Stegostoma tigrinum: one gene and its partners. The protein of the gene in region 1 purifies or fractionates together with the protein of each later gene. This does not show direct contact. Links are inferred from orthologs where the notes say so. Each region holds a gene or a part of one and is shown in the gene's direction. Other genes may lie near its edges.

Region 1 (7,638 bases):
AAAAACATAAATTACTGGAAAAACTCAGCAGTTCAGGCAGCATTTGTGGCGAGAGAGTATAGTTAACATTTCAGGTCCAATGAAGCTTCATCAGAACCAATGGTAGCGAGGAAAATGTTGATATTGATGCAGAAGATGGAGTGGGGGTGAGGGTGGCAAAGTAAATGATATGTGGAGATAGAACACAAAGAAAGAGAGAAACAGTTGGACAGACAAAGGAGTGGGGAGTGTCAGACTGGGCAAATAAATAGCTGCTAATACAGGCTATTAGTAGCTGACAATGGGTTGTGTATGGCAGCAGCCCATGTGATATCAAAGGCTGGTGTTGTAGGGATTGAGGTAAGGACAAGGAGAAGGTGCCTCAAGCCCTAAAGTTGTTGAACTCGATATCAAGTCCAGGGGGCTGCAGAGTTCACAAGTAGAAAATGAAATGCTGTTCTTCCAGCTTGCACTGAGCTTCGCTGGAGCATTTTCCACTCTATTTCCCCGCCTAGCTTTGAATCTTCGGGAAATTTGCATATATTATACTCAGTCTCTTTATCTAAGCCATTAATATGGACTACAAATAGTCACTAATCCTGTCAGTGTGCATAAGAATGTTAATATAGAGGTCATCCCTACTAAGTCTTACACTGAAAAATAACCCAGTTGTCTATAATATTTAGCCTCTCATTGAAGTACCTGAGTTAGAAGCTGAGTCATTTTTTTCCTGTGATCAGAGATAATGGGAACTGCAGATGCTGGAGAATCCAAGATAACAAAGTGTGGAGCTGGATGAACACAGCAGGCCAAGCAACACCTTAGGAGCACAAAAGCTGACGTTTCGGGCCTAGATCCTTCACCAGAAAATTTTCCTTGGGTCTAGGCCTGAAACGTCAGCTTTTGTGCTCCTAAGGTGTTGCTTGGCCTGCTGTGTTCATCCAGCTCCACACTTTGTAATCATTTTTTTCCTGTGTTATTGTTCTTGTGATGGGGCTGCCATTGACAAAGCCAGCATTTATTGCTCAGCCCTAAGAGTCAATTATATTGCTATGGATGTGGACTCATATGTAGGCCACCCCTCGGCACATTTCCTTCCCTGAATGAGCCAGATGGGATGTTTTTAATGACAATTCACAGCAGTCACATGATTACTATTAGGCCAGATTTTTATTCTTTATTTTCTTTTCTGTTAAATTCCAGTTTCACCATCTGCTGTGGTAGGATTTGAATAGATGGCCCTAGAATGGCCCATGGAATTGCTTTCTAGTTCAGTGACATTACCACTACACAATCATCTCCCTATGATTCTGTAGCCCTGGAGTGTCAGAAACAACAAACTTTACATTCTTTTAGTGTTTTAAACAACTTTCTGCAATTGCCCTGCAAGGATATTTTATTGTCCACTTGCTTGTCAATCAGAAAGTTCCTGATGTGTCATATTTGCTCTACCATGTACCACAACCTAGATGCAACTTCTGTTTATTTTACAACAGGGTAGAACAATGCTGAGGTTTTATGAACTGAAGAAGGAAACCCTCCAAAGAGTATGAACAGCAAATTTACAGCAAAGCAGGACTTCTGTCTGAAGACCTTATGCTAAATCATAGGGTTGACAGTCCATGCACAACAGAGAATCTGAAACAGCCATCAGGAGGGTGGAGGTGAGCTGAAGATCTACCACAACAAATAAAGGTTTCATGAAAACTCTTAAAAAATACAATATTTGCAAGAAAATGTTTATCTCACCTATACACTAATATTTGCAATGTTTGAAGCGCTGATAAATATATTTTCCATCAAAGGCCCGTGCCTTCCTGCAAAGCCTGAGGTTCAAATTTTCCCTAAAAACTGAAAGAACTACAAATGCTGTAAATCAGAAACTAAAACAGAAGTAAGACCATAAGACATAGGAACAAAAATTAGGCCATTCGGCTCATCGAGTCTGCTCCACCATTCAATCATGGCTGATAAGTTCCTCAATACAATTCTCCTGCTTTCTCCCCATAGCCCTTGATAATCAAGAACCTATCTATCTCAGTCTCATATGTACTCAATGCCCTGGCGTCCACAGCCTGGAAAAACTCAGCAGGTCTGGCAGCATCTGTGAAGAGGAATCAAGAGTTAATGTTTCGGGTCAGGATTGATAAGGGCAGAGCAGTGGATATGACCTAAATGGGCTTCAGTAAGGCATTCAATAAGGTCTCTCATGGCAGACTGATTAGCAAGGTTAGATCACATGGAATATAGGGAGAACTAGCCATTTGAATTTAGAACTAGCTTGATCAGTGCTGGGTCCACTGCTTTTTGCATTGAGATAAATGATTTGAGTGTGAACAGAGGAGGTATGGTTAGTAAGTTTGCAGCTGACACCAAAATAGCAGGTGTAGTGGACAGTGAAGAAGGTTACCTCAGAATACAATGGGCCCTTCGTCAGAAGGGACATTGGGCTGAGGAGTGGCAGAGTGAGTTTAGTCTAGATAAATGTGAAGTGCTGCATTTTGGTAAGGCAAATCAGGGCAGGGCTTAATGGTAAGGTCCTGGAGAATGTTGCTAATTGAAGAGACTGTGGAGTGGGAGGTTCATAGTTTCTTGAAGGTGGAGTTACAAGAAGATAGGATAGTGAAGGCAGTGTTTGGTACACTTGCCTTTATTAATCAGTTCATTGAGTATAGGAATTGGGAGGTCATGTTGGGACTATACAGGACATTTGTTCGGCCACTTTTGGAATACTGCATTCAATTCTGGTCTCCCTACTGCAGGAAGGATGTTGTAAAACCTGAAAGGGTTCAGAAAAGATTTATAAGGATCTTGCCAGGATTGGAGCTATAGATAGAGCCTGAATAGGCTGGGGCTATATTTCCTGGAGTGTCGGAGGCTGTGGATGACCTTATGGAGGTTCATAAAATCATGTGGGGCATCGAAAGGGAAAATAGTCAAGGTCTTTCCCCCGGGGTGGCAGTGTCCAAAACTAGACGGTATGAGAGGGGAAAAAATTTAACAGAGACCTAAGTTGCAATGTTTTCACACACAGACTGGTGCATGGACGGAATGAGCTACCAGAGGAAGTGGAAGAGGCTGGTACTATTACAACATTTAAAAGGCAATTGGATGGGTATGTGAAAAGGAAGGGTTTAGAGGGATATGGGCCAAATTCTGGCAAGAGGGACCAGATTAACTTAGGATATCCGGTTGGCATGCATGAGTTGGACCAAAGGGTCTGTTTGCATGCTCTTTCAGCCCTATGACTCTATGGTTTATAGCACTTGTTAAATAAGAGTGCTAACGTCTGCATTAGCATAGCTTAAAATAATCTGTTGAGTTTGTAAAATAGCTGATTTGTGCTGTGAATAAATGATATGCATTCACATGCAGGAACCCATACATTACAAAATAAGCAACAGCTTCAAATTTTATGTAATTTTGGAGAGCCCATGTAGCTCTTCATCACTTTCTCCAAGACAGTGCCTCAAGCAATCAAAGTCAACTCGCAAAAACATCAACTTTTGCTCCTAAGATGCTGCATGGCCTGCTGTGTTCATCCAGCTCCACACTTTGTTATCGCCAATTATTTAGCATCTTCTTCTCTTGTATAATTGTTTGGTTATTTGAAATTTGGCATTATTTTTGTGCTGATTTACAAGATGAAAAGCTTAAGCAAACTCTTTTTTCATCAATTTTCCGTCTTGCCCACTGGAACAAAAACTGATTGTTCTTATCCAGATTTAGATGGGCTCTACTGTTTAATTTGCCCTGAATACATGAGAACTGGCTCTTGACTTTGCGTGGTGATACAAAATGACTCCATCATTTTTTTTGTACTATATTCAGAAACGTATAAAAGTAGACAACTTTAAAAAGAAACACAAAATATCAGGATAATTAGCAATATAACAGTAAGCTCCCCATGTATCTTAATTTGGTACTTTTAAAGTGTCTCATGTTGTCCTTCTTCAAAAACTGGTCAAACAGGAGAATAAAAATTAAATTTTTCGACAATAGATCTGGTTGCTTTCTACTCAGAACTCAGTCACAACAGGAGACTGCCAGAAGAACAGAGGGAAACACTTTAGGGAGGTGCTCTAAGCATCTATAAAGAGAGGGAGTCTCTGCAGCAACTCATGGCATGATCAAAGGGGGAAATTTATTTTAGAAGGCATCAAACAGATTGAAGGACTTCAATGGGAGCACAACCTCTATTCTAGGTGCCTGTCCTTCAAGTCCAATTTGCCCTTCATGTGGCAGAGTCTTGAAATGGTCCATTGGATTCATCAGCCATCTCAGAACTCACTCAACCAAAACAGAATAAACAAGCCATCTCTGAGCCCGTAGGTATTGGCTAGCAAACGAAGAAATGGAAACAAAAATGTAAACGTAACTGAAAACACTTTACACCTTACTGGGTGAAAGTTAGGGAATGTTTATTTTGAATGTGTCTGTTACTGTCATTGTGTCACTTTGAGGAAGAGCGGCAGTGAAATGCGTTAAGTTCCCACACGGCGTTTGACTCTCTGCGCGCACCGTCCCTCCGCGACCCAACGTGGCCTCCGCGGTCCTGCCCCAACGATTCGCCCATGGGGGGATACTCTCGGCAACGATTGGTGAATTGAGCTGTCAGTCGGAGGCCGGTCCCGGCGTTGGGGGAGGGGAGGAGGAGAGCGCCATCCGGAAGCCGCGGGTGAAGCGGCCATTGTGCGGAGGGAGCAGAGTCTGAACCCGAGTCGGCGGGGGGGAGAGCTGCGGCACCGTTTTTAACGGTGATCGAGGGACGGCGCGGGACTCACGATTGATAAACCACCTTTTGTTTTCTTTTTAAAAAAAACAAGTTTCACCCACTTTCTTTTTGAAAAAAAATCGTAAAGGTTCACACAGACACAAATGTCAGACTTTGACGAATTCGAGAAACAGTTGCACGAGAACCGACAAGGTGAGCAGGGCCTACCGGACCAGGCTTTTTCTGGGTTTTTTTATATAAAGGATTCCAGGGCCTCCCCGTCATCCCACCCCGTCGGCCCTGCTGCGGCCTCGAGTCAAAATCGTCCGTGTTTCCAGGAGTTAATTTAAAACTGGTTTCTCAATGAATACCGAATGAGCGGCGGGTGGGTGCATTGCGCAAGCTCAGTGTCAACTTAGCCAACCCTGGTGACAGGAAGAAGGCCATTCCGTCCCTCTGTATTCTGCACCCCCCGTAGTCCGATTCCACATTCAGCCCATGTGGAGACTTGGGCATTCCCTCTCTCTCAGCTCCTCTGCACACTGCCTCTTCTCCTCATTCAGCCCCTCCAACCACTGCGCTCTATGTTCTGACCCGTACCCCCTTTGCCCCCACCCATTCATTAGCAACATAAAAGGGAATCCAGAAGTCTGCTGTAGGGATATAAACGGCAAAATGGTAAGAGAAGGAACAGTCGTGCCTTTTCGGAACCAAAGGGAGATCTGCACAGGGAAAACAGTTCACCTTGGTACAAAACGTGTATTTGTGTCTGTTTTCACTAAAACCTTGCACGTTTGGGTGCCTGAGATAACAAAGGTGTAGAGCTGGATGAACACAGCAGGCCAAGCAGCATCAGAGGAGCAGGAAGGCATATGTTTCGGGCCAAACCTTGTATGTTTGGCTGCCTGCAGTTTTAGGGGAGTACTGAAGTAATGACAGATGTGGATTTGTCTATATGTTTTTACTTTAAAATATTTTTAATCTTTTGCCTTTTCAATTTCATTGAAGGGTTTGATTCAGTATTTAAATGTATTAAATTGAATTATGTTTCTTTTGGTCAAATGTCTAATTGACAAACAAGTCTAATCAATAGTTAATCTATTCCAGAGAGATGCTGATCTATGAATGTCCAACATACAAATGTTTGTACTTATGAAAGCAATCTCATACTGGGATATAATTTAAAATATCCAACATAAGTACAAGAAATTTTGATACGCATACTTGCTTTATAATTGTCCTGCATTGTGTTCCACCTTGTGTACAAATTAAACTCAGGAACCGAACCCGTCCGCAACCTGGGATCTGCCTGTATGTTCTTTTATAATTGTGTGAAGACCAAAATTTTCTGAATGTATTTGTCTGTGAATTTTTCAGCATTTGCTGTTTTGAGATTTTTTTAAACAATCAATATATTAGTATTTAGTAGAGCCGCTGTTCCTTAACTGCGTTTCATACAACTGGTTAGAACTTGCTGTTGCCTCCTGCTGTTTGAATAGCTGAAAATTGCAAACAGGTGCTAAAATCCAGTAAGAGGCTGCAGTTGAATCCTTTGAATCATTCAGTTTTTACCAACTTGAGCATTTTATGAATTATGTACATACTCTGTAGAGCAGTCCAAGATGAAGTTGCAAGAAATTGCTAACCCTTACAAAAATTATATTTTGGATTTTTCTCCAAGCTTCACTCAGTCCTTCCTATATTAAGCAGAAATTTGAATTTTACTTGATTATACCTATTAGCCAACTTGGATTTCAGTTACAGTATACGACATTACAGATTATATGATTTAGTCTCCTCTGAATTGAAAAACTCTTATTTCTTATACATATATTGAAACTCAACATTGTTGCATACCCTTAAGAATGTGGTTTTGATCAGATTTTTAAGTAGGTAGGGAATTGGAATTATTGGGTAAATTTGTCTCTCAGATTTAGTACCCCTGGAAACATGGGTGCTTTCCTGTCTTTTGAATATTTATGAAAGAGTTATGAGGGATTTACAATTAGGTGACTTTTTACTTTTAGCATGAATCTGTGAACTAGCTATTTTAAGTACAAGTTTTATTTGTCACTCATTCTGTTCAGATATAGTTTCGGATTTTTTTTAAAAGCATACATTTCTCAAAAATATTCAGTGGTGGGATTTGAACAGTTAGGGTAGCATTTATTGCCCATGGTCATGAGCTGCTTTCTTGGACTGCTATGGTCTACATCAGGTAGATGCACTCAGAAGTGAATTCCAGGACTTAACCCAGCAGAAATGAAAGAAAAGCATTGTACGTCTAAGTCAGGATAGTGAGAGACTCGCAAGGAAATTTACTGATTAAAGTCATCCCAGGCATCTGCTTCCTTTGTATTTGTAAGTGTTAGAATTTGAGAATGTGGAAGGTGCTGTCAAGGAAAACTTGGTGAATAATTGCAGTGCGTCTTGTAGACGGAACCTGCTGCAGCCGCTGTGCAGTGGTGGAAGGATTGAAGTGGCCTGTTCTGTCCTGAACAGTGTTGGGCTTCTTGTTTTGGAACTGTGTGTGTGCCGGCAATGAAAGGTATTCCATCACACACCTGGCTTACATTGCAATCAGGCTTCGGAGACTGTGAATGTGAATTACTCACTGAAATTCTCAGCCTTTGACCTGCTGTTGTAGCCACAATGTTTACTGGCTGGTCCATGTTTTAGTTTCTGGCTAGTGATGAACCCTAGGATGTTGATAGTGGGGGTTCAGCAATAGTAATGCCATTGAATGCCAAGGGGGCACGATGAGTAGATTCTCTGTTGGAGATGGCCATATTTGTAGATATTCTTTCACTGATATTGAGCTAACATAGGAGAAACCCAACAGGCAATCCAAAGAAATATGAGGAGTACATAACAGTATTTTATGTCTAACTTCAGGCGCATTCCTGCTATGAATAATTGAGAATTAATTATTAAGGCATATGTAA
Region 2 (6,876 bases), on another chromosome or scaffold:
GTTGGTCTTTGTATCTAAAGGACTGTACTGTACTACAAAGATGCAGGCATCATGTTGCAATTGGTTAGATCCCACTTGGAGAACTGAGGAGATCTGAGCACTATATCGTAGGAAGGATATTTTGGTCTTGGAGACAGTACAATGTAGGTTTACAAGAATAATACCTGGACTTCAGATGTTAGGTTATGAGGTGAGATTATAGAAATTAGGCCAGTTTTCTCCATATTTTAGAGGGTTAAGAGGTTACCTTATTGAAGTCTTCAAGATATTAACAGGAAAAGACAGGCAGATAAAGATAAACTATTTCCGCTGGTTGGGGATTGTAGAACTGGGGACATTGTCTGAGAATTAGGGCCAGACCATTCAGGAGCGATGCTAGGAAGCACTTCTACACAAAAAGGGTGACAGATGTTTGGAATTCTCTTCCACAAATGGCAGCGAATGCTGGATCACTTGTTATTTCTGAGAGAGACAATCTTTTGTTAAATACAAGTGTTAGGTGATATGGGTCAAAGGCAGGTTTCTGGAGTTGGGCAACAGATCAACCATGATGTCACTGAATATGGAACAGGCTGAAGGAGCTCAAGGAGCAGAATGGCCTGCTCCTATTCTTATGTTCCTTTGTGTATTTCAGTGAATAGCCACTATAGTAACCATCTGCATAAATTAAACATTGAGATATCAAGCTGGAACATAATTTACTGGCCTCCATTTGCACACAGCTGACCTAGATTGTCTTGGAGATCAGACAGGCCAGACAATAAACGGAGGGATAAAACACAAGAACAGATTTCTGCCCCTGCCTCCCTGTCCCTTCACACGATGTTCACAGAAGCTGCTCAGACTGCGAAAATGTGAGAAGGGTGTTTCACAGGGTACAATGCTAGGACCTCTGCTGTTCACCATTTACTCTGAAATTTATTGCTGGCTGCTGCCAATATGTCACCCTTCAGTTCTGTGGCACTGCAAACCTGTGTTTCTGCACAAGTGTGACCACTTGACAATTGATGCAGCCATGAGAAATCACTTCCCTGAGAGATTATTAAGAAAACAGAGATCAATATCTGAAGAATTAATTGAGTTAAATGGCAGCATCAAATAGTGTGATGTGACAAATGGCCTGCTTTGTGCTGTAATCATTCTATGACAGATACATTTAATGTAGGCTGGCTAAGCACATCGAGAAGAAAGGAACAGTAGATATGTTGATAGGGTGAATGACGAGTGACCAGGAGGAGGTTCATAGTTTCATCAAGATTTTACAGCATGGAAAGAGATCCTGTGTCCCATCGTGTCCATACCAATCATCAAGCATCTCTCGATTCTGATCCCATTTTCCAGCACTTGGCTCACAGCCTTGTATGCTATTGGATATCAAGTGCTCATCTAAGTATTTCTCGAATGTCTAAGATTTCTGCTCGCACAACATTTGATGCAGAGAGTTTTAGCTACCCAACACCCCCTTGGTTGAAAGGATCTACAAGTCCTCTATAAATCTCCTACTTCTTCCTTCAATACTGTGCCCTCAGGTTATTGAGTCCTCTAGTAAAAGGTTCTCCCCATCTCCCCTTACTAACCCCTTATAATGTTGTACATCTCAACTCTGGACCCTCCTCATTCTTCTCTGCTCTAAGGAAAACAATGCCAGCCTATCTAGTCTCCTATCCTCCCTGAATTATCAGGTAATATTTTGCTGAATTGCCTTTGCACTCTGTCCAATGCAAGTACATCCTTCCTGCAGTGACCAGAACTGCATACAGTAGTTACATACAGCTCCATCATAACCTCTAAAGTAAAACAAAGAACTGCAGATGCTGGAGATTTCAAACAAAAACAGAAATTATTGGAGAAACTCAGCAGGTCTGGCAGCATCCATGGGGAGAAAGCACAGCCAATGTTTCGAGTCTGATGACTGTGCAGAACTGTTTGTATCTAGGAAATGTGTTACTCATGCTGAAGGCAAAGTGGAAGGGGCTGGGGGAGTGGGAAAGTGGGTGTGGTGAGTTGATGGGTGGAGATTGAGCCCAGAGAGAGAGGGATGTGAACAGGTTCGGTAAACAAGAACAGCAGGTCAGGGCAGAAGAAAACCTGCACACTTGATAATAAAGAGCTACGTTTATGTGTAAATGGTTGATTGCGCTAAAAGCAACCAGTGCATTAGCAGACTGGGTTTGGAAATGGGTAAGAAACATGGAAGGGTGGAATCAGACTCTTAAAGTTAATGAACTCGATATTGAGGGTATTGATGCTGCAGTATTCCCAAGTGGAAACTACTCCTTGTTCTTCACAGCCTTCAGCATGTCAGCAATGATGAGCATATTGCCAAAACCATCGCCAAGCCTCCACATCTCACCTTCAAACAACTGCCAAACGTTGAACAGACCATTGCTTGTTGCAAACTACCCAGACTTCAGGATATCGACCACAACACCATACAACCCTGCCACGGCAACCTCTGCAAGACATATTGGATCATTGTCATGGATACTACCATCACATATGGGAAGACCGGCCACCATGTATTCTGCAAAAATTCATGTGACCCACCCAGTGTTTTCTATCTCATATGCTGCAGGCAAGAATGCCCCGAGGCATCATATATTGGCAAGACCACATAGACGAATGTCACCAAATATGACAACAAATGAATGGACACTGCACAACAATTGCCAGACAAGAATGTTCCCTCCCAGTTGGGAAAAACTTCAGCGGTCAAGGACATTAAGCCTCCAATTTTCAAGTAAGTGGCCTTCAAGATACACAACAATGCAGAACTGCCGAGCAAAAACTGATACCCAAGTTCTGTATCCATGTAGATGGCCTCAACTGTGATCTGGTGTTGATGTCACGCTACATGTGATCCCATCACACTGTTATGTATCTGTAAAATCTTCTTTACTGTCCTGTTTTGACGTGATCATCTTGATAAATTTTTATGATCTCTCGACCTTAATTAGTTTGTACAGTTTGGATTACTACTACTTTGGTTAGACCCTCAGCATGCGGCTCTCATGTGCTCCTAAAATGCTGCTTGGCCTGATGTGTTCATCCAGCTCCGCACTTTGTTATCTCAGATTCTCCAGCATCTGCAGTTCCCATCATCTCTGATACAATGTTATTACAGTCATTTGGTTTGTCTCCACCGCTGCCTTATTTTTGTTTTTTTGTAATTATCTCTCTACCTCATTTAATCAAATCGTAGGTCATTCCTTCACGTGTTATTTGGCTGTTGACACTTTACTCTCATTATCCGACACTCTTGGTCACCTGCAGAGGACCTAATACTCTGCCTGCCAACACTCCAGTCACACCACTTGTGCAACCTTTTGCTCTCTCTGCCTATAAATGATGTGCCTGTGTGCTCACTTCACCTGGCGAAGGAGCAGCGATTAAAAAGTTTGTGATTCTAAATAAACCTGGTGGATTATAATCCAGTGCCACCTGATCTTTTGAAGAAGGGTCACTGGACCCGAAATGCTAACACTGCGGATGCTATCAGACCTGTTGACTTTTCCCAGCTATTTCTGTTTTTGTTTCTGATTTCCAGCATCTGCAGTTTCGTTTTGAGAAGGTCCTTCTGGTCCTCTATACTTGCTTAGGTCTTGTCACTCAACACAGTGTTTGCCCTGAATTAGTTTATGCTCTTAAATTAGAAAGTTAGGTGAGAACTGCAGATGTAATTTGGTATTTTAAGGATGCAGGTGTTGGAAGGGGCGGGTGAGTGGTGGTTGCAACCTGAGACTGGAATGGAAATATTTCGTTTCCCCCCGAATGAAGAGATCTTGCTCTGTTTTTTGGGGGGGTGTGAGGTGTAATTGCGATGGCGGCCTGCTGGGGAGGATGAGGGCGCTGTATCCGGAAGTGATGCAGTGACTCTTCAAACGGCCGCTCGAGGCGCAAAGAGGGAGAGAGAGTGCGAGAGTCGGTGAAATGGCCGACGGTGTGGATCACATTGATATCTACGCGGATGTTGGCGAAGAGTTTAATCAGGTAACGATCGGTACCGGTGGTGCTTTGGAGCGAGGCCGCCGCTTGCCATTTGTCGCCCGGCTCACCGCCGACCCGCTCCCACACACAGTCGCGGAGATGGGCGGGCGGCAGCGGCGAAGTCGGCCTCGGTTCACTGAGCGCAGAGGGAGGAAGAGAAGGGCGTGCAGAGGGAACACCGATTCCCAGGACCCCTTCACCATCTCTCTTCCCCCCCCCCCCCCCCCCCCAGCCCGGTACTGGGCTGCGTATCGTCATTCGGAAACGCAGGTCCGGACCCGCTTCTCTGAAAGCGAAGGTGGAAGAGTGAAAAACTAGGCCGCTAGCTCTCCTTTCTTCCCCCTCCCCCGTTTTATTTTTCCCCCCCTCCCCAAAGCTTTTCGTCCGGCCGAGGGGTCTACCCCCCGGTGGCGCAATATTATTTTAAAACCGCGTTGAGTTGTATTTTCTCCTCGGCAGCCGTCTTTATTGCCGGTGGGTACCGCGCTGCGGAGCGAGGCGCTGCTTTTTGGAAGAACAAAACATGACAACATGGCGCCCGAGAGCGGGAGGCGGGCGAGTAAACAGCGGCTACTTACTGCGTATTCTTTACCCAGCATATTCCTGGAGTCCGTCTCCCAACAGATCTACTTAAAATCCTCCCTACGGCTTCATCTGGAAGATTAAGCGTTTAGGATGGGAAGATTTCCAATTATTAGGCAAGAAATGGCTCTTAAATGGAGTTGAGTGGGTGCTGAATGATCTGGAATGTTATTTTCCTTGCACCCTTTTGGCTGTAGTCGACCGTCAATCTGTTTTCAGCATCGAGTCTAACAAATTATGATCCACACATAGAAGTGATCGGAATGCAGTTTCAATTAATGCTAGTCTACAACGGATTAATACGCAAAATTTTATTAAAATTGAGCATCTCTACAATTGAATTCGCAGATTGTAATTCCTCATCTCACCCCCTCCCCCATGTCCTGGTTACATAGGCAGTCATTGATCAGTCGTCACGTTTGTTCCTGAGGCTGCTGTACATGTTTATTTACATATTTTAGTTAAAGTAATTTAATGTTCTGAAAAAAGTAATGTATCACGTAATTTTTGGTGTCCTGAAGTTATGCCAAATATATTCCAAGTAGAATCCGAGAAACTCAATGTATCCAACCCATCGTGTCTGAACTGGCTCCCTGAAGAGCTACCCAGTCCCATTCTCGAAGAAGCGTCTTCGGAGCACAAAAGCTGACGTCTTGGGCCTGAAGGGTCTCGGCCCGAAACGTCAGCTTTTGTGCTCCTAAGATGCTACTTGGCCTGCTGTGTTCATCCAGTTCTACACTTTATCTTGGATTCTCTGTCACCTGCAGTTCCCATCATGCGAGTCCCATTCTCCAGCCCTGTTTCTGTAATCACTTTCAAATATATATCCAACTTAAAACTTCTGATAAAATCTACCTCCACCGTTCTTGCGGGCAGTGCATTTCAAATCCTAGCATGTCTTGGACTACAGAGGTTTCCCCTTATCTCCCTTCTAGTTCTCTTGCTCATAGTCTTCAAATTGTGATCAGCTTAGTTACTGATATACCAGCTAATGTAAACAGAATATCCCCCTTTACCCTGTCAAAACTGATAATTTTGAATGCCATTATAAGATCACTTGTTAAACCTCTGCTCCAAGGAAAATAATCCCAACCCCCCTCTTTTTCCTTGTATCTAAAATTCCTTACTACAGTGTTGTTTTAATATCTCCTTTTGCACTTTCTCCAAGGCTTCAACATGCTTAAATAAGGTGCCTCGAACTGAACACAATACTCCAGTTGTGAGCTGACCAATGATCAGTAGAGGGTAGCATTGGTTCCTGGCTTTTATACTTTATGACATTATTTGTCAAACCAAGGATCCTTTAAGCATTCCCAAGAATTGTTTCAAATTGCCCGGTCACCTTCAGAATTATGTACCTTAATTCCAAAAATCCAAGTTGCTCGCTAACTCTCAATCTAGGGTGCATCACATCTGGATCAGGTGACTTTGCGTGGAGTCCTGCCAGCCTTTTTTTGCACCTCCTCTTTATCTATCACTCTGCTCAGTTGCTTAACACCCACATTTTCAACTGTGCCATTTCTAATTGATAAAACCAAAAGCACAGTACTCACTTAGTACCTGTGCCATACACTTTGCTTCAGTGAGCAGCTCACCCTGCTTATTCCTCATGGGCCCCACTCTATCCTTCAGTCATCTTCTAACATTAATATGTTTGAAGAACATTTTTACTGTTTATCTGAGCACAGACAGCCATCCTTTCCTCATGCTTCATCTTAAACTTCGTTCTACCAGCTTTAATCTCTATGCATTTGAGATTTGCCGTCCTAATTTCTAATGTTATTCCAATATGGTTCATGTGCTGTCTTTTTCTTCCTTATGTTCTCAATGATATTTTTAGTCAACTAAGAGTAAAGGTCTAGTCTGGGATTTTAATCATCAACTGATTTTTTTTTTCTTTACACTTTTTCCAAAATAATATTGAACCTTATGATAATTATTTCCCAAGTGCTCTCCCACTTTGAATTTCTGCACTTGACCTACCTCATTTTGCAGGACAAGATCCAGCACAGCACTCTCCCTGGTATGATTGGAAATAATTGTCCACAGCCTGTGATTATCCTATTGTAAATTTTTCTCCATTTATTTAGAAATTGCTCTTACTGACAATTTTATAGTTCCAAAAACTACATTAAATAAGTTTTTCCATGACTTATCTGCCGCCTTTTATTAAAACCAAGTTCCATGGCATGTCATTTCAAAATGCAGTTTTAGTGCAAATTTGGTTATTGAAGTACCCAAGAGAATGATAAGAGGAAATTTATCTTATCTACTGGGTGAAGAGTTAAAAATGGGTGGGAGTTAGCA
Region 3 (7,290 bases), on another chromosome or scaffold:
TTCATGTACCCATCCAGATGCCTCTTAAGTGTTGTAAATGTACCCACCTTCACAACTTCCACTAGCAGCTCATTCCATACACATACCACCCTGTGAGAAAAAGTTACCCATCAGATCACTTTTAATGCTTTCCCTGCTCACCTTAAACCTATACCTTTTGTTTAGGACTTCCATACCTTTGGAAAACAGACCTTGCTTATTCACCTCATCGATGCCCCTCATGGTTTTATAAACCTACAGCCCCTGACACTCCAGGGATGAAAAAGTACCAGCCTTTGAAGCGTCTCCTTATAATTCAAATCCCCCAGTCCTGGCAGTAGATTGGTTAGTGAGGTTAAATCACATGCTATCCAAATGAATACAAAATTGGCTTGATGGTAGAAGACAGATGGTGGTGTTGGTGCATTGCTAGCCTTTAATTTTCTTTGAATATATTTTTATTTTGATCCTTTGTGGTCCCTGTCCAACAGAAATTGGCGGAGACAGAGTCAAGGGACAGCCATTTTTTGTTCGTTTCTTTATTTATTTACCCCCCCACTCCAAAGTAATAGGGTCTTTGTTTTCACAATACAGTCAAGGAAACTTTATTTCCTGTTTCAAAACAGTAAGCAGGCTTTGCTCAGTGTTTCACCTGGTGCTATCCCAGTCTGAGGGAATATCTGATGGGGGGGGGGGTGGCACGGGAGAAGGGGTCTTGGTATTTTCTGGTTACACCTTTCGTTTAAAAGTAGAGGGATGTTATTTGGACTGGAGGCTTGCGACCAGCAGTGTGGTGCAAGGATGGGTTCACTGTTGTTCATCATTTATGTCAACAATTTGGATGAGAATATAGGAGATATAGTAAGTTAGTTTGCGGATGACACCAAAATTGTTGACACAGCAGACTGTGAAAGAGGTAATCTATGAGTACAATGAAATCTTGACTAAATAAGGCCAATGGGCCAAGTAGTGACAGGTGGAGTTTAATTTGGATTGATGTGAGGTGCTGCATTTTGGTAAAGTAAACAAGGGCAGGACTTACACAGCTGGTATGTCCTGGAGAGTGTTGCTGAGCAGAGGAATCTAGGGGTGCAGGTTCACAGTTTCTTGAAAGTGGCATTGCAGGTAGCTAGGTTGGTGAAGGCAGCATTTGGCATACTTGCCTTCATTGGCTAGAAGATTGAGTATAGGAGTTGTGACAAATATTGCATTATACAAGACAATGGCAAGGCCAATTCTGGCCATCCTGCTATAAGGAGGATGTTACTGATCTAGAAAGGGCACAGAAAAAAATTGCAAGGATGTTACAAAATGCAAAATATACTAGCGATTTGATCTGGATATTGCTGTAATGCAAGGCAGCCAGAAGGCATGTTATCTAATGATTAAACACCCACAAGCAGGAAATGATGATAAACAGGCCAAAGCAATAAACTAGAGCAATCAGTCCTAACACAACTGCTTTTAAATGTTAGTTATATATAGAATTTAGAAAGAGAATGACTTGTTAATGTTTCGGACTGCTTTTCATTCAAACTTGTGCTTCAGTTTAAACTCTCCCACAAAGCAAATATTGCAGACGCTGAAGTGAACAAATTGCAGGAGCTATTCAGTGGAGCAAGTAACATCTGTGGAGAAAAAAGCTAATATTTGAGGGATGCAATCTTTAAAGGAAAAAAAACTTTAAATATAACAGACATTAGAGGTTTTAATCAAGTAGAATTAGGCCAACCAAGATGGGTGATGGCAGGTGGGATTAAGTTTTCTTCTCTCATTCACTTGCCTTGCCTCTTGGATGATGGGGCTGAATATAGGGCAGACTCATTAGCAATTATCATTGTCAAATGTAAGATGGGTAAGTTGCCAAAAGCAGGTAAAGGGTCTAGAAACAGGTATTTGACAGAGGGCAAAAATCTGGCAGATTGAATTTAATGTGAATTTGTCTACTTTGGAAGGAAAAACGGAAATGTACCCACTATTTAAAACAGTGCAGGCAGAGATTGCCAAACTGTGTCTGTGTGACCTGTGATGCAAATCAAAACAAAAATCAGTTTGCAGCTCTGGCAAGTGATTAGGGAGACAAATAGAATGGCAATTATTACAAGGGGAATGGAATACATAAGCAGGAACATTTTATTGCTGCAGGGCTTTGGTGAAACCATATCTCAAATACATGTACACTTTTTTTCAAAAAAGTGTACAAGGTTCAATTGGCTCATTTCTGATATGAAGGGCTCATCTTACAAAGAAACGACTGAGCTGGGTGGGCTAGTTCCTTCCAAGAACTTAGTAGAATGAGGGGATCTTATTGAAATATACAAGGCCATGAGTGAATTTGATACAGTGGATAGTTTTGGATAGGAAAATGGAATGGAGACCACAATCAGATCACGTATGATTTAATGGGAAAGGCAAAAGGAAAGGCCAAATGGCCTACTTCTGTTCCCAAATCCACATTCCCATGCTCCTTCACTTACTAAAGCTTGTTACAGCTGATATTTTCCACACCTGAAACATTAACTCTGTATCGCTCTCTAGAGATGCTCTCAACATACTAACTATAGTCAGCATTTTTAGCTTTGTAAATACAGATGTCAGACCTCTTAGACCTCTCTCTAGTCAACATTTTTGAATGAATTGGATGGTTATCAATCTCCAAACTGAATTTGAAATCATTTCAACACATCACAAAAATCATGCTCATATGAACAAATGTCTCCATTCCTATACAGGATCATTGGCCATTTAAACCCTCATTCATGCTAGTCACCTCCAGACCACTCAACATGAACTCAGCATACTCAAAAGACTTATTTATTGCACAACAAACCCAGTTCGACCATCACCTCTATCCACAAGACTCACATTAACATCCAGATTTTAACAATTTTATGTTACTCTCCTTATCGGCAAATACATTTACAGTCTAATCACCATTACTCCCACATCTGCAGGCCACCTTGTGTTTGTCTTTCCAGCCCAATGAGCAGCTGCCCTTTAACTCCATTTATTGATGATCTTGTTTTCTGGCTATGAGACTTCACACTCAAATCTCTCCCTCTCCCCCCAACCCACTCTTTTTCTGCTACAGACCCCACACTAAAATAGAAGCTTTCTTTTTTTAAAAAAGAAACATTCATAACATTTTTTTGGTTCATGTGGTTTCCCTGTCCCCAGGGTAGGGGTTATTGTTACAGTAAAAACTTATAAAATGCAATCATAATAGGTTGGCATTTACTTTACACTCTCTGCTGTCCCCTCCATCGACAGCTAACATTGACATATAATAGAGCTAAACAATTTGCGGTGCATAACCACTGTTTTCTGATTGTAGTGCTTGCAGCGAATTTAAGAAATGGAACAGGCAACTGGGTTTAAGTAGAAGTGATAACTGCTAATTTAGATACTCGAAGGAAAGGTGGGCAGAGTCAACTCTTGCACGTTGCACTCAATGTCACCAGCGGGTTACAAAATTATGAGGTAGGTATTGGTTCCAATGTAACACCCCAGGACTGTTTTCATCCTCCCTGCTGAGCAAGTGAAATCCCTTTCAACCCATCCGACCCCAATTCTGAGGAAGGGTCACCGGGCCCGAAACCTTAACTGTTTCTCCCCAACCCACCCCACCCCACCCCACAAATGTTGCCAGACCTGCTGAGCTTTTCCAGCAAGTTCTATTTTTGTTTCTCGAGCAGCTTAGATTGCTCCTTACCGTCGTTGCGCTTTGGGCCCTTCATGGTGAGCTCGGCTGCCTTCTCGGCCGGTTGTTTGGAGAGACACAGCAGCTCCTTCTCATTGTATCTCATGGTAGCTGGCAGAAAGGCCCCTTCCCCCTCGATATCACCCCTTCCCTCACCGAGGGGAGGGGGGGGGGGTGGATGTTAATGAGCAGTTCCTTGCCTTCAGACACAGCCACCACCCTGGACAAAGCTGCCCCACCTGGTGAGCGTTATCTCTGGAAGCGAAGGCCGAGCGGGAGGTGCGTGCCGTTGGTACAAAATCGCGATAAAGTCTGCGGCATATCTAAAAGTCAATAAACACGGGCACGCCCAATCTAGCGACAAATCATGACTTCGAGCTGCGGCGGAGGCTGGCACTACGCGGCACACCGAGCGGCAGACGGAACAAAAACCGCACCTCACCCCAACGCTCGACCTCCCTCAGAATCCACCGCGTCTTCTTGTCAATAAAGTTATTGAAAAGCCCCACTTCCGGTGGTCCACGACCTTCTTCCGGTTTTTGGCGCATCGCGCCAGTGTTCTTTGTTAATAAAGTTACTGATAACAGTAAGTTCCGGTGCGCCGCGACTTTCTTCCGGTCGGTTTTGGTGGCTGTTGGAGGCGTGTTCAGGTAGTCGCGGGGCTGATGGTTCGAGGCCGCTAGTTTATTGGTCCCTGGTAGCCGGAGCTTGGTGGGTCAGGCACAATATACCTTCGTCATGATGAATGTTCTTTCCCTCACTTCCCCCCCCCCCGGACCGGTTGTTAACCCGGCCATTTTCTGAGCTGGCCAAGGAACCTGAGGCCTGTGTTTCCAGGCTGTTTAATGCAACGTTTTCCTTTGTGTCTGCTTGTTTGTTCAATGGTAAAGCTGGAGCGATTGGGGTCAACTTTGTTCGGAGTGAGCTGAATAAGCAAAGTGCTTGGTCTGACTGAAACCAGGTTGAGAGTTTGTTTCCCCTTGACTTTTGGGTGGTGGTGTGAGGAGAAAGGTGGTTCGGCATAGAGGACCGAGTACCTAACACTGAGATGAGGAGAAGTTTTTACAACAACGCACTTAATGGGTTAGAGATAGTGGGAACTGCAGATGCTGGAGAATCCGAGAATCTTTTTCTGATGAAGGGTCTAGGCCCGAAACATCAGCTTTTGTGCTCCTAAGATGCTGCTTGGCCTGCTGTGTTCATCCAGCTTCACACTTTGTTATCACTTAATGGGTTAGATTTTGAATCTTTAGAATTCTGTCTTGGAGTACTGCCTACAGTTTTGTTTTCCTATCCTGAGCAGGGGATAAATATTTTTTGATCAACTTGTTCAGAAATATTATGATGTACCTCTAGAGCATCAGAGGGACTTTAACCCAGGCCTTCTGGTTCAGATGTAGGGTGTTTACCAGTATGTCACTCGACCCTTCTGAAAAGGGGATGTACTTGCCATAGAAGGAGCACAATGGCAGTTCATCAAATTAATCCCTCCGACAGCATGTTTGTTATACCAGGGATTGAGGAGATTGGGTATATATTTCTTAGAGCTTTGAAGATTTGGAGTTGAACTCATTGAAACTTACAGGACATGATAGGGTGAATATAGATAAGCTGTTTTCTCTGGATGTTAAACGAAAAATGAGGGGCCATAATCTCAGGATAAAGGATGAGGTATTTGGACTAAACTAACAGGTGCTGTGTTATTAGGTATATTCAAGGTTAAGATTGATGGATTGTTGGTGTCTCACAAATTCCTGATATAGGATTTATGAAGTTAAGGCAGAAAGTCAATGACATTTGTATTATGTGGTGGCCCAAGCTTAATGAACTGGGTGGTCTATTCCTTTTCCATACATTTAGTTTAAGAGTAGTGGAAAATGTTTGTACTGCATATGTACATGAATGATGTAAGGAGGAATGTTTTTGTTAATATATATGCTTCCAAACACTTGTGTGGTGAGGGAATCTTCTTTATTTCTGACGACAGATTTTTGCTTCAGCTTTAACTACATTTCACAAGATTGATCACTGGTTGCATCTGTTCTATTCTGTAGTTTTTCCCAATGGCTTGAGTTGAAACATTCAGCACATCATCACAAATATTTATCTTTTTGTTCCTATGCCATGTGTGTTCCCAGAATGTTAATCTTCTACCAGTTTTTTAAAATATATATTGCCTGACCACAATTTCAGCTGTTAGTACCGTTACATTCTACCCAAGTATGCAGATAATGCCAACATTTGTGTCCTTGCTGTTTCCTTGATTTGATGCTGCCCCTGTTTGGATGAGTGTGAATGGGTTAGAAACTTCTCTGGAATGATCTTAGCTGATGTTCTGACCCTTTGCGAAAAACTGAGTCTATCTCTCTTCAATTGCTCACCAAGGATCCACCATAAACAAGCTTGGTTTGCTGTTTGGAACAACTGACTTTGGCCTCGTTCCTAGTATCACTTGGGATCAGCTCATCTCCAAGTCTGAATATAGTAAATTTAACCTGCCCTCCAGTAGCTGAGCATGTAAGTGCTCAATATTTAAGTGAATTTTGAGACAACTCTGCATCTTTGAAGATGTTATGCTTTTTGGATGAAGTATTAAACCAGGATGTGTTCAACAACAGCAACTTAGCATTTACATTGGGAACAGGAACAGACCATGTAACTAGTCAAGCCTGCATCACCATTCGTTTACTTCAACACCACTTCCCTGCACTATATTAGTACTGTTTGATATCATTAATTTCTGACTTGAATATCTCAAATTTTTTTTTAGTTTCCGAAGCCCCTGGGTAGAGAATTCCAATATTCATTACCCTCTGAGTGACAAGATTCATGCACGTCTTGATTTGAACTTAGCTTACCCTTCCTTAGTTTATGTCCCCTGGAATTATACTTACCAGCCAGATGAAACAGCTTCCCTGCCTTCTCGCATCCTGTAAGCATTATGTAAGTTTTAGTGAGTTCATCCCTCATTTTGTCTTGAAACTTTAGAGAATGCAGATCCATCATCTTCAATCCATCATAGAAAAATTACACTACCCCAGGGATTAATCTAGTGAACCTCCATTCCCCTCCTGTTCTGGCATGCATATCCCTTTGTTAGATATGGGAATCAAACTGCACACTGTACTCCAGGTGAGGTCATGCAAAGGCTTTATTCAACTGCAGCAAGATATTTTTATTCCTGTTTTCAAGTCCCCTTATGATGGAGAGCCAGCATACCATATGCCTTCCTAGTTATTTGTTGAACCTGAATGCTAACTTGTAGGATCTTTGGACATCCTCAGTTTCCAACCTCTCACCATTTAGGAAAAAGTCTGCTTTTCTGTTTTTGTTTCTCAATTAAAGCAAATAACTGCACATTGACTCACATTATTTTCCACCTGCATATTCTAGCCAATTCACTAAGTTTGTCTAAATTCTTCTTGAAGCCTTTCTTAGTCTGTTTCACAATGTACCCACCCAAATTGGTGTCATCAGCAAATTTTGAAATATGACAGTTGGTGCCTAAGCTGAAATTATTGGACTGAAAATAGCTTATGAACACAAGTCAATATAGTTTTGTGCATTATTTAACAGCCTGCTTTCCTGAGCATGGTCTGTTAATTCCTACT
Region 4 (7,945 bases), on another chromosome or scaffold:
CGACCAGTACAACTGGACTCCAGAATGGTATGATCGGCCCTACGACCAGTGCAACTGGACTCCAGAATGGTATGATCAGCCCCACGACCAGTACAACTGGACTCCAGAATGGTATGATCGGCCCCCCCACGACCAGTACAACTTGGACTCCAGAATGGTATGATCGGCCCCCACGACCAGTACAACTGGACTCCAGAATGGTATGATCGGCCCCACGACCAGTACAACTGGACTCCAGAATGGTATGATCGGCCCCACGACCAGTACAACTGGACTCCAGAATTGTATGATCGGCCCCCACGACCAGTGCAACTTGGATTCCAGAATGGTATGATCGGCCCCCACGACCAGTACAACTGGACTCCAGAATGGTATGATCGGCCCCACGACCAGTACAACTGGACTCCAGAATGGTATGATCGGCCCCACGACCAGTACAACTGGACTCCAGAATGGTATGATCGGCCCCCACGACCAGTACAACTGGACTCCAGAATGGTATGATCGGCCCCCCACGACCAGTACAACTGGACTCCAGAATGGTACGATCAGCCCCACGACCAGTACAACTGGACTCCAGAATGGTATGATCGGCCCCCACGACCAGTACAACTGGACTCCAGAATGGTATGATCGGCCCCACGACCAGTACAACTGGACTCCAGAATGGTATGATCGGCCCCCACGACCAGTACAACTGGACTCCAGAATGGTATGATCGGCCCCCCACGATCAGTACAACTGGACTCCAGAATGGTATGATCGGCCCCCACGACCAGTGCAACTGGACTCCAGAATGGTATGATCGGCCCCCCACGACCAGTACAACTGGACTCCAGAATGGTATGATCGGCCCCCCACGACCAGTACAACTGGGCTCCAGAATGGCATGATCGGCTCCCACGACCAGTGCAACTGGACTCCAGAATGGTATGATCGGCCCCCCACGACCAGTACAACTGGACTCCAGAATAGTATGATCAGCCCCACGACCAGTACAACTGGACTCCAGAATGGTACGATCAGCCCCACGACCAGTACAACTGGACTCCAGAATGGTATGATCGGCCCCCACGACCAGTGCAACTGGACTCCAGAATGGTATGATCAGCCCCACGACCAGTACAACTGGACTCCAGAATGGTATGATCGGCCCCCACGACCAGTACAACTGGACTCCAGAATGGTATGATCGGCCCCCCACGACCAGTGCAACTGGACTCCTGAATGGTATGATCGGCCCCACGACCAGTACAACTGGACTCCAGAATGGTATGATCGGCCCCCCACGACCAGTACAACTGGACTCCAGAATGGTATGATCGGCCCCACGACCAGTACAACTGGACTCCAGAATGGTATGATCGGCCCCCCACGACCAGTACAACTTGGACTCCAGAATGGTATGATCGGCCCCCACGACCAGTACAACTGGACTCCAGAATGGTATGATCGGCCCCACGACCAGTACAACTGGACTCCAGAATGGTATGATCGGCCCCACGACCAGTACAACTTGGACTCCAGAATGGTATGATCGGCCCCCACGACCAGTACAACTGGACTCCAGAATGGTATGATCGGCCCCACGACCAGTACAACTGGGCTCCAGAATGGTATGATCGGCCCCACGACCAGTACAACTGGACTCCAGAATGGTATGATCGGCCCCACGACCAGTACAACTGGGCTCCAGAATGGCATGATCAGCCCCACCACCAGTACAACTGGACTCCAGAATGGTATGATCGGCCCCCACGACCAGTACAACTGGACTCCAGAATGGTATGATCGGCCCCACGACCAGTACAACTGGACTCCAGAATGGTATGATCGGCACCGTGACCAGTATTACTGGTGTTCCAGCCAGTATTATAGCATGGTGGTGCTCAGATACCCTTGATCTCGGTGTCCATGTACACAGATCCTTGAAAGTTGCCACCCAGGTTGACAGGGCTGTTAAGAAGGCATACAGTGTTTTAGCTTTTATTAATAGAGGGATCGAGTTCCGGAACCAACAGGTTATGGTGAAGCTGTACAAAACTCTGGTGCGGCCGCACTTGGAGTATTGTGTATAGTTCTGGTCACCGCATTATAAGAAGGATGTGGAAGCTTTGGAAAGGGTGCAGAGGAGATTTACTAGGATGTTGCCTGGTATGGAGGGAAGGTCTTACGAGGAAAGGCTGAGGGACTTGAGGCTGTTTTCATTAGAGAGAAGAAGGTTGAGAGGTGACTTAATTGAAACATATAAAATAATCAGAGGGTTAGACAGGGTGGATAGGGAGAGCCTTTTTCCTAGGATGGTGACGGCGAGCACGAGGGGGCATAGCTTTAAATTGAGGGGTGAAAGATATAGGACAGGTGTCAGAGGTAGTTTCTTTACTCAGACAGTAGTAAGGGAATGGAACGCTTTGCCTGCAACGGTAGTAGATTCGCCAACTTTAGGTACATTTAAGTCGTCATTGGACAAGCATATGGACGTACATGGAATAGTGTAGGTTAGATGGGCTTCAGATCGGTATGACAGGTCGGCACAACATTGAGGGCCGAAGGGCCTGTACTGCGCTGTAATGTTATACATTCTGTGAATAGTGGTAGTTCCCTATGGGTTTGTAAACAGACTCTGTGCCCAACAGTCACTGCCTGGCATTGGTGAGCTGGCGAATCGAACTCACACTGTTGCATCTCTCCCCGCTCTCAACACGGGGTTGTGGGGGTGGGGGGGTGCGTGGACAGCGTACCTTGCACCCTCACGTCATGTTCGTCAAAGCTTTGCTGGATGATGCGCAAAGTGTGCAGGGGACCCTGAAATTCTGCCATGGGGTCATCGCAGATAAGTCGGGCCAGTGGGCGAGGTTGCAATCGGGAAGTTTCGCTTGGAATAACAGAGAAATGCTCCATCGTTTAAGCAGTGAAGGATTGCAGGGTGTGCTGTGCAGAGGGATCTGGGTGTCCTTGTGCGCGAGTCACAACAAGGAAGCTGGTTTGCAGGTGCAGTGGGTACTTAAGGTGGTAAATGGGGATGCTGTCCATCAGTGCGATAGAGGGATGGCGTTTAAAAGCAGGGAGGTTTATGTTGCAGCTGATCAGGCCACTCCTGGAGGACTGCATCCAGTTTTGGTCTCCTCCCTTGAGAAAGGATGTACTGGCACTGCAGGGGTTTGCAGAGGGGGCTCACCCGGTTGATCCCGGAGTTGGGAGGGTCGGATGACGAGGAGAGACCCCGGGGTCGGGAGGGTCGGATGACGAGGAGAGACCCCGGGGTCGGGAGGGTCGGATGACGAGGAGAGACCCCGGGGTCGGGAGGGTCGGTGACGAGGAGAGACCCCGGGGTCGGGAGGGTCGGTGACGAGGAGAGACCCCGGGGTCGGGAGGGTCGGTGACGAGGAGAGACCCCGGGGTCGGGAGGGTCGGATGACGAGGAGAGACCCCGGGGTCAGGAGGGTCGGATGACGAGGAGAGACCGTGGGGTTGGGAGGGCCGGATGATGGGGAGAGACCCCGGGGTCGGGAGGGTCGGATGACGAGGAGAGACCCCGGGGTCGGGAGGGTCGGATGACGAGGAGAGACCCCGGGGTCGGGAGGGTCGGATGATGGGGAGAGACCCCGGGGTCGGGAGGGTCGGATGATGAGGACAGACCCCGGGGTCGGGAGGGTCGGTGACGAGGAGAGACCGTGGGATTGGGAGGGCCGGATGACGGGGAGAGACCCCGGGGTCGGGAGGGTCGGTGACGAGGAGAGACCCCGGGGTCGGGAGGGTCGGTGACGAGGAGAGACCCCGGGGTCGGGAGGGTCGGTGACGAGGAGAGACCGTGGGGTTGGGAGGGCCGGATGACGAGGAGAGACCGTGGGGTTGGGAGGGCCGGATGACGGGGAGAGACCCCGGGGTCGGGAGGGTCGGAAGACGAGGAGAGGTTGAGCTGTCTGGGTCTATACTCAGCGGAGTTGGGAAGAATGAGGGTAAAACGATGAAGGGAATGGGTAAGGAGGGAGCAGGAGGCTGCTCCCACTGGAAGCTGAGACGAGGAGCCGGGGGGCAGAGTTGAGGAGGACCATCTTCTCCCAATGGGTCAGGAAACCCGTGGGATCCCCTGCACAGTTGAGGGGACCATGTTGAAAGCTTCGATAAGGCAAAGGCAGATGTTTGACCAGTAAAGGGAGTTAGGGTCATGGTGAGGGGTGCGGGTAAGCTGGGCTTTACCCACAGGAAGAGGTTGGCCATGATCTTATGTAATGGTACAGCAGTATTGAGGGGCCGAATGACCTGCTCCTGTGAACTGCCTGTTAGGTCACCACCCCACCGCTAGGGGTCACGCTCTCCCTCCCCCCCCGCCCCAAACCATTCCCACGCAGCCGCAGCTAGGTGATGACGTTCTCTGCAGTCCACCGCACTTTTGTCACCGAGCGTTGAGACGTTTCCTATTGTCCCCGCCCCTTTCCCCCCACTTTTGATGACGTCACTTCCGCACCCCCCCCCCACTCCGCCCAATCCTTGCGGGATGGCTCCTACAGTCTCCGCCCCTTTTCACCCAGCGTGATGACGTTACTACATTCTTCACCCCGGCCTCCCGCCACGGGCGAGATGACGTTCGCTGCATTCTCCACCCCAAAACCCAAGCGTGATGACGCCGGCTCGGCCTGCTGTGTTCATCCAGCCCCACACCTTGTTATCTCGGATTCTCCAGCATCCGCAGTTCCCACTATCTCTCACATTCCCCGTTCCCCAAACGTGATGACGTTCTCCAGTCTCCTCCCCTGCAACTCAACACCGATGACGTCTCCTACCTCCCTCCCGACCCATCATGCGCGTGACGACGTCCCTTCTTCCCCGCCCACCCCACGCGCGTGATGATGTCCCTGTTTCCCCGCCCACCCCACGCGGCGTAATGACGCCACGCTCTGGCCACGCCCCTCCAATGACGTGACCTCTCCTCCCGCCATTTCCCAGTTGCCCCGGGAGCCGCCGCCGCCGCCATCATGTCGCTGCTGTGTTGGAGTAAGTGGGAGCGGGGGCCGGGGGCAGGAAGATACCCCCCTCCCCCGGGAGCGGGGCAGAGAGAGAGAGAGGCCGGGGTGTGGGGGGAGACCGGGAACTCAAGGAGCGGAGTGGGCCTTGCGCCTCATGGACAGTGGGAGCACAGGGCCCGGGCCTGAACTGGGGCCTGGGCCTGAGCCTGAACTTGAACTGGGGCCTGGGCCTGAACTGGGACCTGGGCCTGGGCCTGAACTGGGGCATGGGCCTGGGCCTGAACTGGGGCCTGGGTCTGAACTGGGGCCTGGGCCTGGGCCTTAAATGGGGCCTGGGCCTGGGTCTGAACTGGGGCCTGGGCCTGAACTGGGACCTGGGCCTGGGCCTGAATTGGGGCATGGGCCTGGGCCTGAACTGGGGCCTGGGTCTGGGTCTGAACTGGGGCCTGGGCCTGGGTCTGAACTGGGGCCTGGGCCTGGGACTGAACCTTAGCCTGGGTCTGAGCCTGATCCTGGGCCTGGTGTTGGGAGTTAACAAGGTGTGGGGCTGGATGAACACATCTGAACCTGGGTGTGATGCTGCTTGTCCTGCTGTGTTCATCCAGCCCCACACCTTGTTATCTCACATTCTCCAGCATCTGCAGCTCCTGTTACCCCTCTGCTCCTCTGATGCTGCTTGTCCTGCTGTGTTCATCCAGCCCCACACCTTGTTATCTCACATTCTCCAGCATCTGCAGCTCCTGTTACCCCTCTGCCCCTCTGATGCTGCTTGTCCTGCTGTGTTCATCCAGCCCCACACTGCGTTATCTCACATTCTCCAGCATCTGCAGTTCCTGTTACCCCTCTGCCCCTCTGACGCTGCTTGTCCTGCTGTGTTCATCCAGCCTCACACCTTGTTTTCTCAGATTCTCCAGCATCTGCAGCTCCTGTTACCCCCTTGCTCCTCTGATGCTGCTTGTCCTGTTGTGTTCATCCAGCCCCACACCTTGTTATCTCACATTCTCCAGCATCTGCAGCTCCTGTTACCCCTCTGCTCCTCTGATGCTGCTTGTCCTGCTGTGTTCATCCAGCCCCACACCTTGTTATCTCACATTCTCCAGCATCTGCAGCTCCTGTTACCCCTCTGCTCCTCTGATGCTGCTTGTCCTGCTGTGTTCATCCAGCCCCACACCTTGTTATCTCACATTCTCCAGCATCTGCAGCTCCTGTTACCCCTCTGCCCCTCTGATGCTGCTTGTCCTGCTGTGTTCATCCAGCCCCACACTGCGTTATCTCACATTCTCCAGCATCTGCAGTTCCTGTTACCCCTCTGCCCCTCTGACGCTGCTTGTCCTGCTGTGTTCATCCAGCCTCACACCTTGTTTTCTCAGATTCTCCAGCATCTGCAGCTCCTGTTACCCCCTTGCTCCTCTGATGCTGCTTGTCCTGTTGTGTTCATCCAGCCCCACACCATGTTATCTCACATTCTCCAGCATCTGCAGTTCATGTTACCCCTCTGCCCCTCTGATGCTGCTTGTCCTGCTGTGTTCATCCAGCCCCACACCATGTTATCTCACATTCTCCAGCATCTGCAGCTCCTGTTACCCCTCTGCTCCTCTGATGCTGCTTGTCCTGCTGTGTTCATCCAGCCCCACACCTTGTTATCTCACATTCTCCAGCATCTGCAGCTCCTGTTACCCCTCTGCTCCTCTGATGCTGCTGGGCCTGCTGTGTTCATCCAGCCCCACACCTTGTTATCTCACATTCTCCAGCATCTGCAGCTCCTGTTACCCCTCTGCTGCTCTGATGCTGCTGGGCCTGCTGTGTTCATCCAGCCCCACACCATGTTATCTCACATTCTCCAGCATCTGCAGCTCCTGTTACCCCTCTGCTGCTCTGATGCTGCTTGTCCTGCTGTGTTCATCCAGCCCCACACCTTGTTATCTCACATTCTCCAGCATCTGCAGCTCCTGTTACCCCTCTGCTCCTCTGATGCTGCTTGTCCTGCTGTGTTCATCCAGCCCCACACCATGTTATCTCACATTCTCCAGCATCTGCAGCTCCTGTTACCCCTCTGCTGCTCTGATGCTGCTTGGCCTGCTGTGTTCATCCAGCCCCACACCTTGTTATCTCACATTCTCCAGCATCTGCAGTTCCTGTTACCCCTCTGCCCCTCTGATGCTGCTTGTCCTGCTGTGTTCATCCAGCCCCACACCATGTTATCTCACATTCTCCAGCATCTGCAGCTCCTGTTACCCCTCTGCCCCTCTGATGCTGCTTGTCCTGCTGTGTTCATCCAGCTCCACACCTTGTTATCTCACATTCTCCAGCATCTGCAGCTCCTGTTACCCCTCTGCTCCTCTGATGCTGCTTGTCCTGCTGTGTTCATCCTGCCCCACACCTTGTTATCTCACATTCTCCAGCATCTGCAGCTCCTGTTACCCCTCTGCTCCTCTGATGCTGCTTGTCCTGCTGTGTTCATCCAGCTCCACACCATGTTATCTCACATTCTCCAGCATCTGCAGCTCCTGTTACCCCTCTGCTCCTCTGATGCTGCTTGTCCTGCTGTGTTCATCCAGCCCCACACCTTGTTATCTCACATTCTCCAGCATCTGCAGCTCCTGTTACCCCTCTGCTCCTCTGATGCTGCTTGTCCTGCTGTGTTCATCCAGCTCCACACCATGTTATCTCACATTCTCCAGCATCTGCAGCTCCTGTTACCCCTCTGCTCCTCTGATGCTGCTTGGCCTGATGTGTTCATCCAGCTCCACACCTTGTTATCTCACATTCTCCAGCATCTGCAGTTCCTGTTACCCCTCTGCTCCTCTGATGCTGCTTGGCCTGATGTGTTCATCCAGCTCCACACCTTGTTATCTCACATTCTCCAGCATCTGCAGCTCCTGTTACCCCACTGCTCCTCTGATGCTGCTTGTCCTGCTGTGTCCATCCAGCCCCACACCTTGTTATCTCACATTCTCCAGCATCTGCAGCTCCTGTTG

The links.
Region 2: the proteins of splicing factor U2AF 65 kDa subunit-like (region 1) and cpsf6 fractionate together in Homo sapiens (co-fractionation; 3 studies listed by BioGRID, with this or other methods). This does not show direct contact. The link is inferred for Stegostoma tigrinum from reciprocal best matches to the Homo sapiens genes U2AF2 and CPSF6.
Region 3: the proteins of splicing factor U2AF 65 kDa subunit-like (region 1) and sf3a2 purify together in Homo sapiens (affinity purification with mass spectrometry; 3 studies listed by BioGRID and IntAct, with this or other methods). This does not show direct contact. The link is inferred for Stegostoma tigrinum from reciprocal best matches to the Homo sapiens genes U2AF2 and SF3A2.
Region 4: the proteins of splicing factor U2AF 65 kDa subunit-like (region 1) and prpf19 purify together in Homo sapiens (affinity purification with western blotting; 3 studies listed by BioGRID, with this or other methods). This does not show direct contact. The link is inferred for Stegostoma tigrinum from reciprocal best matches to the Homo sapiens genes U2AF2 and PRPF19.

The regions. Positions count from the first base shown.
Region 1 is NC_081375.1:48,722,326-48,729,963, forward strand, and holds the start of splicing factor U2AF 65 kDa subunit-like, read left to right. Parts: upstream 1-4,628; 5' UTR 4,629-4,857; coding exon 4,858-4,906; intron 4,907-4,921; exon of another isoform or gene 4,922-5,086; intron 5,087-7,638. UniProt on the Homo sapiens protein: Plays a role in pre-mRNA splicing and 3'-end processing. By recruiting PRPF19 and the PRP19C/Prp19 complex/NTC/Nineteen complex to the RNA polymerase II C-terminal domain (CTD), and thereby pre-mRNA, may couple transcription to splicing.
Region 2 is NC_081371.1:45,801,819-45,808,694, reverse strand, and holds the start of cpsf6 (cleavage and polyadenylation specificity factor subunit 6), read left to right. Parts: upstream 1-3,875; 5' UTR 3,876-3,930; coding exon 3,931-3,990; intron 3,991-6,876. UniProt on the Homo sapiens protein: Component of the cleavage factor Im (CFIm) complex that functions as an activator of the pre-mRNA 3'-end cleavage and polyadenylation processing required for the maturation of pre-mRNA into functional mRNAs.
Region 3 is NC_081383.1:19,450,595-19,457,884, forward strand, and holds the start of sf3a2 (splicing factor 3A subunit 2), read left to right. Parts: upstream 1-4,276; 5' UTR 4,277-4,329; exon of another isoform or gene 4,330-4,390; intron 4,391-4,470; exon of another isoform or gene 4,471-4,640; intron 4,641-6,064; exon of another isoform or gene 6,065-6,196; intron 6,197-7,290. Other genes in the region: plekhj1 (pleckstrin homology domain-containing family J member 1), read right to left, coding at 3,692-3,785. UniProt on the Homo sapiens protein: Component of the 17S U2 SnRNP complex of the spliceosome, a large ribonucleoprotein complex that removes introns from transcribed pre-mRNAs.
Region 4 is NC_081399.1:7,396,479-7,404,423, reverse strand, and holds the start of prpf19 (pre-mRNA-processing factor 19), read left to right. Parts: upstream 1-4,923; 5' UTR 4,924-4,976; coding exon 4,977-4,995; intron 4,996-7,945. UniProt on the Homo sapiens protein: Ubiquitin-protein ligase which is a core component of several complexes mainly involved pre-mRNA splicing and DNA repair. Required for pre-mRNA splicing as component of the spliceosome.